Linked DNA regions of Xenopus tropicalis. The protein of the gene in region 1 purifies or fractionates together with the protein of each later gene. This does not show direct contact. Links are inferred from orthologs where the notes say so. Each region holds a gene or a part of one and is shown on either strand. Other genes may lie near its edges.

Region 1 (3,816 bases):
TCCTGTTTAATACCTAAACCCATTGTATTCTACATCCCATTGTATTCTTCTCCAAGTCAACAGTATATTATATTTCAATTACTTAAATGTTTGATTTTACTGTGTGAAAAGAAAGTGGTTTGGAGGGAATGGTAATAAGGGAATAATTGGGAAGTGAGTATATTATATACCTGTTCAGGTGCCAGCTTTTTGGGCCTTTCTCCACCAAATGAATAATGCTGGGTAAGAAATATTTATTTAGCCTGTGGATTTTTTTTTTTTTGCAGAGCGGAAGCACAATCCATCATCTCATCATTCAACAACGGACCATGTATCGGAGAAAAAGTTTAAATCTGAAGCATTGCTGTCAACTCTAACTTCAGATGCTTCCAAAGAGAACACAGCAGGTATAATTCATTCACAATGTAGTACAGGTATGGGACCCATTATCCATTATTATTGCTTCCAATAAGAATTAATTGTATCTTAGTTGGGATCAAGTACATGGTACTGTTTTATTATTACAGAGAAAAAGGAAATAATTTATAAAAATGTAAATTATTTGATTAAAATGGAGTCTATGGGAGATGGCCTTTTCATAATTCGGAAAATTTATAGATAATGGGTTTCCAGAGAAGGGGTCCGATACCTGTACTGTTATATGAATTTGTTAATGCTGCATTACAAGCAAGAGTGTGGAGTCCTTAGTTCTATTAGAGAATGTATCTGTTTGCAAAAATAACTTCCTGCTATATTTCATACTATCCCATATTATGCTAAAATAGCTACATTACAAGTAACAATCATTTTTCCCACCAGAAACCTCTAGAGAGTATAGTTAAATATGCACCTTACATTCCCCTGATAAGCATCTACATTTACAGTAACACGGATAAGTATTTAACGCCCTTGGTCTTTTCACATTATGTTTTGTTACAACCTCAATTTTTTTTTTTTTTTTTTTTTAATTTTTGTCATCTTCTGCATTTTTTTAGTTATCAGATGGAGATGGGGTACACTGACCATAGCATCTAAAAACTGTTGTTCTATGAGGTTACAATTTTATTGTTTTTACTTTTAATTACCTTTCTGTCTAATAGGGACATCTCCTATTCATCTTCCAGCCTTTCATTTCTCATTTAAACCACTGCCTGGTTGCTAAGGTACATAGGGTCATAGCGACCAAATAACTGCTGAAATTCCTCTGTTAAACGAAAAGCTAAATAACTGCAAAATCACCAAAAATTAAAACTATTTGCAAATAGTTTTAAAATACGAATGTCTACATCATATTAAAAATGAATTTAAAGATGAGCCACCCTTTTAAAATCAGAGCTTTGACTGGGCCACTAAAGGACTCTTTTTTTTTTTTTTGTTCTTTAGCCACTTCAATATTACTCAGTCTTTGTGATTGGATCCATTGTCCTGCTCAAAGATTCGCTTTCTCCCACAATTTTTAGCAGATGAAAGTTCTTTTGCAGTATTTTCATCTTGAAACTCTTAAAACTCTTGTTTTAACAAGATGTTTAGTGCCAGGTTGTAACACAAAAAAAATGTTAGGGGAGGTTGAATATTTATGCAAGCCACTGTAACAGCCCCCTGTTGAAAGGACCCAGATTTAGGGGCTGATTTACTTACCCACGAACGGGTCGAATGGAGTCCGATTGCGTTTTTTTCGTAATGATCGGTACTTTGCGATTTTTTCGGATTCTTTACGAATTTTTCGGATCCAATACGATTTTTGCGTAAAAACGCGAGTTTTCCTATCCATTACGAAAGTTGCGTAAAAAGTTGTGCATTTTGCGTAGCGTTAAAACTTACGCGAAAAATGCGCAACTCGCGTTTTTACGCAAAAATCGTATTGGATCCGAAAAATTCGTACAGAATCCGAAAAAATCGCAAAACATACGAAAAAGTCGCAAAATATTCGTTTTCAAGTCGGAACTTTTCCAATTCGGGTCGGATTCGTGGGTTAGTAAATCAGCCCCTTAGTGTTGGTTTTTACTCCATTCCTTTTTTGCAGTGCCTAAGTAAAGCTTTTGCATATTACATCATTTAATGTGTGTAACATTTTTAAGAACTTTATTTTCAAAGTAATAATTTTTCGGTTTTAATATATTTTTCATTCTTCTAGGTTGTAGAAATAATCTGTCTTCATCTTCTACCAACAATGTCTACAATGTTAATGCTTCCCAGCCATTGACCTCATATAATATAAGTTCCCTTTCAACTGGGGCTGGAGCAGGTGCAATTACCATGGCAGCAGCTCAAGCAGTTCAGGCAACTGCACAGGTAAGTATTGCATATTGTAGTGTCAATTATTTTAGAAGATAACAGCTGAAATTCCACGCCGGAGAGCTTCTGAATCTTCTGATTGATGCACGTTGATTGCTTGTGTGCTATGTAATGCCATTTATTTGATTGTGCAAACACTGCATGTTAGTATACATGTAATCAGTGTTTCCAATTAATGTGTTCTTAGATGAAAGAAGGAAGAAGAACCTCCAGCCTTAAAGCCAGTTATGAAGCCTTTAAAAACAATGACTTTCAGCTTGGAATCTCTTTGTCTAGAGATTCTGCTACTTATTCATCCTCAGCACTAGCATCAACGTTAACCCAGACATTAACATCATCTGCAACAACAGATTCAAGAAGTGGTAGAAAAAGCAAGTAAGTTAATTTGCCTTGAATTTTGATGGAGGAAAGCTCATTTAAAGGAACAGTAACACCAAAAAATTAAAGTGTATAAAAATAATTAATATATTATGTACTGTTGCTCTGCACTGGTAAAAGTTGTTTGTTTGCTTCATAAACACTACTACAGTTTATATAAATACCCTGCTGTGTAGCCATGGGGGCAGCCATTTAAATTGAAAAAAGGAGAAAAGGCACAGGTTACTAAGCAGATAACAGATAAGTAGCATAGATTCTCATTGTATTCTACTCAGTTTATCTGTTATCTTCTTATGTAACCTGTGCCTTTTCTCCTTTTTTCAATTTAAATGGCTGCCCCCATGGCTACACAGCAGGGTATTTATATAACTATAGTAGTGTTTATGAAGCAAACACACAACTTTTACCAGTGCAGGCCAACAGTACATAATATATTAATTATTTTTATACACATTCATTTTTTGGTGTTACTGTTCCTTTAAATGCATTCATGTAGTGTATTAGCTATTGCATTTCACTTCACACTTCTTAGTTAATTGTTCTGTAATTTTATATTTGCATAACCCTTCTCTCCACTGGTATTGATGGACTTCATTTTACTATTAGTGGGTGCAGAAGTAGCTTGGATAAATTCCAGATGTAGATCCTAGTTAACTGCTGTTTTTAGCAGTGATTGGAAAGTGTGGAGGCTTACTTCTTGTTTACATTGAGAAGCATGGAATCCCACAGACAGAGCACCATTTAAGTCAAACATAAATTATGTGATAAAAAACAAAAAAAATCTTTGGTATATTTTAAAGGAATACTGTCACGGGAAAACATTTTTTTCTTTCAAACCACATTAGTTAATAGATCTTCTCCAGCAGAATCCTGCATTGAAACCTGTTTTTCAGAAACGCACGCAAGATTTTTTTTATACTTTTGAAACTTCACTTGAGGCTAGCCATGTTCCTAATTTCCCAGGGTTCCACAGCCATGTGACCTGTGGTCTGTCATTTAACTGCTGCGCTGCAGGTTGGAGTGATATCACATCACCCCCCCAGCAGCCGATCAGCAGGACAATGGGAAGGTAGCAAGATAGCAGCTCCCAGTAGATATCAGAATAGCACCCCAGGGCCAAATGGTCCAATTAGCTTACATGTAGGTGGGGATATCAGGTGAAGA
Region 2 (4,615 bases), on another chromosome or scaffold:
GCCCCGGGGGCAGCCATTCCTGCACTGGTACAGCTGGGGTGTTTGCTACAGAAACCCTACTATAGTTTATATAAATACCCCGCTGTGTAGCCCCGGGGGCAGCCATTCCTGCACTGGTACAGCTGGGGTGTTTGCTACAGAAACCCTACTATAGTTTATATAAATACCCCGCTGTGTAGCCCCGGGGGCAGCCATTCCTGCACTGGTACAGCTGGGGTGTTTGCTACAGAAACCCTACTATAGTTTATATAAATACCCCGCTGTGTAGCCCCGGGGGCAGCCATTCCTACACTGGTACAGCTGGGGTGTTTGCTACAGAAACCCTACTATAGTTTATATAAATACCCCGCTGTGTAGCCCCGGGGGCAGCCGTTCCTGCACTGGTACAGCTGGGGTGTTTGCTACAGAAACCCTACTATAGTTTATATAAATACCCCGCTGTGTAGCCCCGGGGGCAGCCGTTCCTGCACTGGTACAGCTGGGGTGTTTGCTACAGAAACCCTACTATAGTTTATATAAATACCCCGCTGTGTAGCCCCGGGGGCAGCCATTCCTGCACTGGTACAGCTGGGGTGTTTGCTACAGAAACCCTACTATAGTTTATATAAATACCCCGCTGTGTAGCCCCGGGGGCAGCCATTCCTGCACTGGTACAGCTGGGGTGTTTGCTACAGAAACCCTACTATAGTTTATATAAATACCCCGCTGTGTAGCCCCGGGGGCAGCCATTCCTGCACTGGTACAGCTGGGGTGTTTGCTACAGAAACCCTACTATAGTTTATATAAATACCCCGCTGTGTAGCCCCGGGGGCAGCCATTCCTGCACTGGTACAGCTGGGGTGTTTGCTACAGAAACCCTACTATAGTTTATATAAATACCCCGCTGTGTAGCCCCGGGGGCAGCCGTTCAAGCTGGAAAAAAGGAGAAAAGGCACAGGTTACATAGCAGTTAACTAGTAGATAAGCCCCATATAGTGGGTGTTTATCTGTTATCTGCTTAGTAACCTGTGCCTTTTCTCCTTTTTTCCAGCTTGAACGGCTGCCCCCGGGGCTACACAGCGGGGTATTTATATAAACTATAGTAGGGTTTCTGTAGCAAACACCCCAGCTGTACCGGTGCAGGAATGGCTGCCCCCGGGGCTACACAGCTGCTTATTTATATAGTAGCTTTTCTGTAGCAAAAACACCAGTTTTTTGCAGAGCAACAGCACATTATATTTTAATTACTTTAAAACACTTTAATTAATGTTACTGTTCCTTTAATACTAAAGGTAATATATCAGCTGGGTGCAGTTACCAAACGTGCCCACTGGGTGCCGCTGTGTAAGTGCAGCGCTTACTGTTCCAGCCTGATAGCGCTCAAAGTAATAACATGTTTGGCTGCCGCTGGCCACAGAGAGTCGCTATGGAAGCTGCAGATGCGCGCAGTGCGGTTGGGGAACACTAGGTGGCGCTGCTCATGTGTAACATCAGTCGTTCGCTGCGCTGTCGTTTGGCTGAGTGCAGTACTGCTGGTGAGCACTAGATGGCGCTATTGCACTAGGCACAGTGCCGCTGCTGGATACCGTTATGAGCGGAAGAGGCTGCTGCCCAATAGACGCCCCCTGTTGTGCTGCTATAGATATTGCGCTACAGTGCAACACCCATGGTGTCCGCTAGGAGTCGCTGTCCCCCGCAGTTTCCCCCCATTGGCTGCAGAGATGGGGGATTTAGAGGCCGGGGAAACTACTGTGGAAAAACCCGAGCCTCCCCCTGCCCCCCCCGCGGAAGAGCCGGTGCTGTGGAGCCCGGAGGTTGAGGTGTGTCTGTTCCATGCGATGCTCGGCCACAAGCCGGTCGGTGAGTGGAGGCCGCGGCCCATCCCCGGACTCGCGTAATCTGGGAACCCGGGAAGGGGGGGCTTCCGGTCCGGGTGGCGTCGGGACATGGCGGCCCGGGGCGGGATGAGGGGCTCTGGGTGTCTGTACCTGGGGGGGTAGGGGCACTATATCGGGCACTTTGGGGTTATTGTACCAGTGAGTGTAATTACACCGCAAAAGTAAAGTCCTGGGCAGTAACCTATAGCAACCAATGGGATCTTTGTTTCTATTGTTCTCTGCGGCTGAAAGAGAATCGCTGATTGGTTGCTCTGGGCTTTTGCTGCAGATTTGCCCCCTGTGTATAAATACATTCTATTTGGGGGGTATTTGGGCAGAACTAGGGGGAACCCTAATAACCATGTGACTACGGGACTCATTAACCCTTTGGCAGACGCAGGGCACAACTGACTCTTCTTTTTGCCCCTCGCAGGCGTGAACCGCCACTTCCACATGATCTGCATCCGGGACAAGTTCAGCCAGAACATCGGGCGCCAGGTCTCATCCCGAGTCATCTGGGAGCACCTGCGGAGCATGTACGATATGCAGGCCTTGGTAGGTGGCCCCGGGGAATGGGGGGGGCATTTCCTTACACTTCCAGGTGAGGTAGCCCCGCCCCCTGCTGTTTGCTCCACCCCTGCGCCCCCCTAACCTCCTGCCGTTACTTTCCCGTTGCAGCACGAGTCTGAGATTCTCCCCTTCCCAAACTCGGAGAAGAACTTCATTCTCCCGGAGGATCTGATTCAGGAGGTGAAGGAGGGTGAGTGTCAGCCTTTGGGTCCAGTTGCCCTCTGGGTACTGACCTAATGCTCTCTGTACCCCATTACTAACCTTGTGCCCCCCCCCGGGGCCCCCATACAGCCGGGCCCTAAAGGTCTGTGTCCCCTCCTCCTCTCTGCAGGGAAGGTGACGTCGGAGGAGGAGCTAAAGGAGGAAGTAAAGGAGGAAGTGGAAATACACGGCGGCTCGGATGAAGGTGGGAAATATTGGGCTGAGGAGCTTGCAATCTGTTATTCAGCTTCCCAGCCTCGGCCCCTGAGGAGTCTGTAGGGGCAGCGCTTAAGGGGGCGGTTCCCCTTTAAGTTAACTCTTAGCATGCTACACAATGATCAGTTCTAAGCAACTTTTCAATTGGTCTTTATTTATTTTTTATAGTTTTTGAATTATTTGCCTCCTTTCAAGTTTTCAAATGGGGGTCACTGACCCCGGCAGCCAGAAACCTATTGCTCCGTGAGGCTCCAGTTTTATTGTAACGTTTTTGTAACTTTTTTTTCTATTCAGCCCCTCCTCCTATTCATATACCAGCCTCTCATTCCCTGGTTGCTAAGGTAACTTGGACCCCAGCAACCAATTAGCTGCTAAAATTCCAAACTTAAATAACTAAAAAACTACAAATAATAAAAAATGAAGACCAATTGCAAACTGTCTCAGAATATCCCTCTCTACATCGTACTAAACGTTAACTCAAAGGGGAACAACACCCGAAGGTGCAAGTTTTGGGTCTTCCAGAACCGTTTCAGCCCATTTCCGGAACCAAAAATACACCTCTATCATTGTCTCTATTGGAACACGGCAGGGGGAGGGGAGACTTGACCAATTCTTCCAAGTGCATTGTGGGTAATGGGTGGTTTCTTGGTGGCTTCAGGGGGTCGGAACTTCATCTCTGTTGCCATAGTAACATTTCAGTCATCGATATCCTCATTGTCAAGGGGAGGAGCTTCCTGTACCTGTATAAGTGCATTTAGCAGGGGGCAAACAGTATAGCCACCTGGGGGCAGCAAGTTTAGCAGTTGCCCCAGGCAGATAACATAACCTGGGTGGGGGCTTCTGTGGGGTATATACGTGAGGAGGGGTAGATTTAAGGGGCAACAGGCCCTGCCAGATGCCTCACTCATGGGTATTTCCTTCCTCTGCAGCTTTTGTCAACTCTGGGAATTCTGGGAAAGGGCTGGACAAAGCCCCCGGGAAAGAGCGGACCCTCTCGGAATCCAGCTCCAAGGAATCGGGGGACAAGCGCAAGCGGAGCCGGCTCACCGAGAAAGTGCAGAACGCAAACAGCAACCCGTCCAGCCCGAACGCCAACAAGCGCAGGCGCACATAGGGGCGGGGCTGAGAGAAGGGGTGTGGCTTCCCAAGGGGTCAGAACCGGCCCGCGTGTAACTGAACTAATGGGTTGTGTGAGAGTCAGAACATTCTGCCCCGGCTCTGGGGCAGTAGCCAGTAGACTGTAGATCTCAAGGATGTAAATATTTTTAGGGGGTATGTGGGGGGGGGGGGTAGTGAATCTACATCCGCGGGGGCTGGGCAGACTGTGGCCCAATCAAACCCTCGTTAATCTACTGATGAATAAATCAATTCATTTCCCAACCCCTCTAATCTATTAGCCACGGGCTGACCATCTTTTTTATACCCCCCCCCCCCCAAAAATCAGCTTTGGAACGTTCCACTTTGCTCTTTCATAATGAATTAGGCACAGTCAGCAGCCTGGGGCCCCCCCAGAAGGTTCCTCCAGGGAATGGGGGGCTCTGGCTGTTCCCCACTATAGAGTCTCGGGGGCTGTCCTGCGAGTGATTCAGGGAGTTCAATGAATTTATAATGAACTTTCAGCAGACGGACAGGGGATCGATTCCCGCCGAAGGATGTCGGGATTTTACCCTACAGGGGGCAGCAGAGGTCTCTCCGGGTATTTAAGGCAGTTTTTATAATAATATTTTTAATGGATTTTATACATAAAGTGTTGGACAATGTAATCGCCTCCT

What was found.
Region 2: the proteins of ing3 (region 1) and mrgbp purify together in Homo sapiens (co-immunoprecipitation; 4 studies listed by BioGRID and IntAct, counting the BioPlex papers as one, with this or other methods). This does not show direct contact. The link is inferred for Xenopus tropicalis from reciprocal best matches to the Homo sapiens genes ING3 and MRGBP.

The regions. Positions count from the first base shown.
Region 1 is NC_030679.2:69,347,816-69,351,631, forward strand, and holds part of ing3 (inhibitor of growth protein 3), read left to right. Parts: intron 1-266; coding exon 267-386; intron 387-2,113; coding exon 2,114-2,271; intron 2,272-2,461; coding exon 2,462-2,649; intron 2,650-3,816. UniProt on the Homo sapiens protein: Component of the NuA4 histone acetyltransferase (HAT) complex which is involved in transcriptional activation of select genes principally by acetylation of nucleosomal histones H4 and H2A.
Region 2 is NC_030686.2:2,537,848-2,542,462, reverse strand, and holds mrgbp (MRG/MORF4L binding protein), read left to right. Parts: upstream 1-1,661; 5' UTR 1,662-1,700; coding exon 1,701-1,839; intron 1,840-2,289; coding exon 2,290-2,411; intron 2,412-2,534; coding exon 2,535-2,616; intron 2,617-2,757; coding exon 2,758-2,832; intron 2,833-3,772; coding exon 3,773-3,957; 3' UTR 3,958-4,603; downstream 4,604-4,615.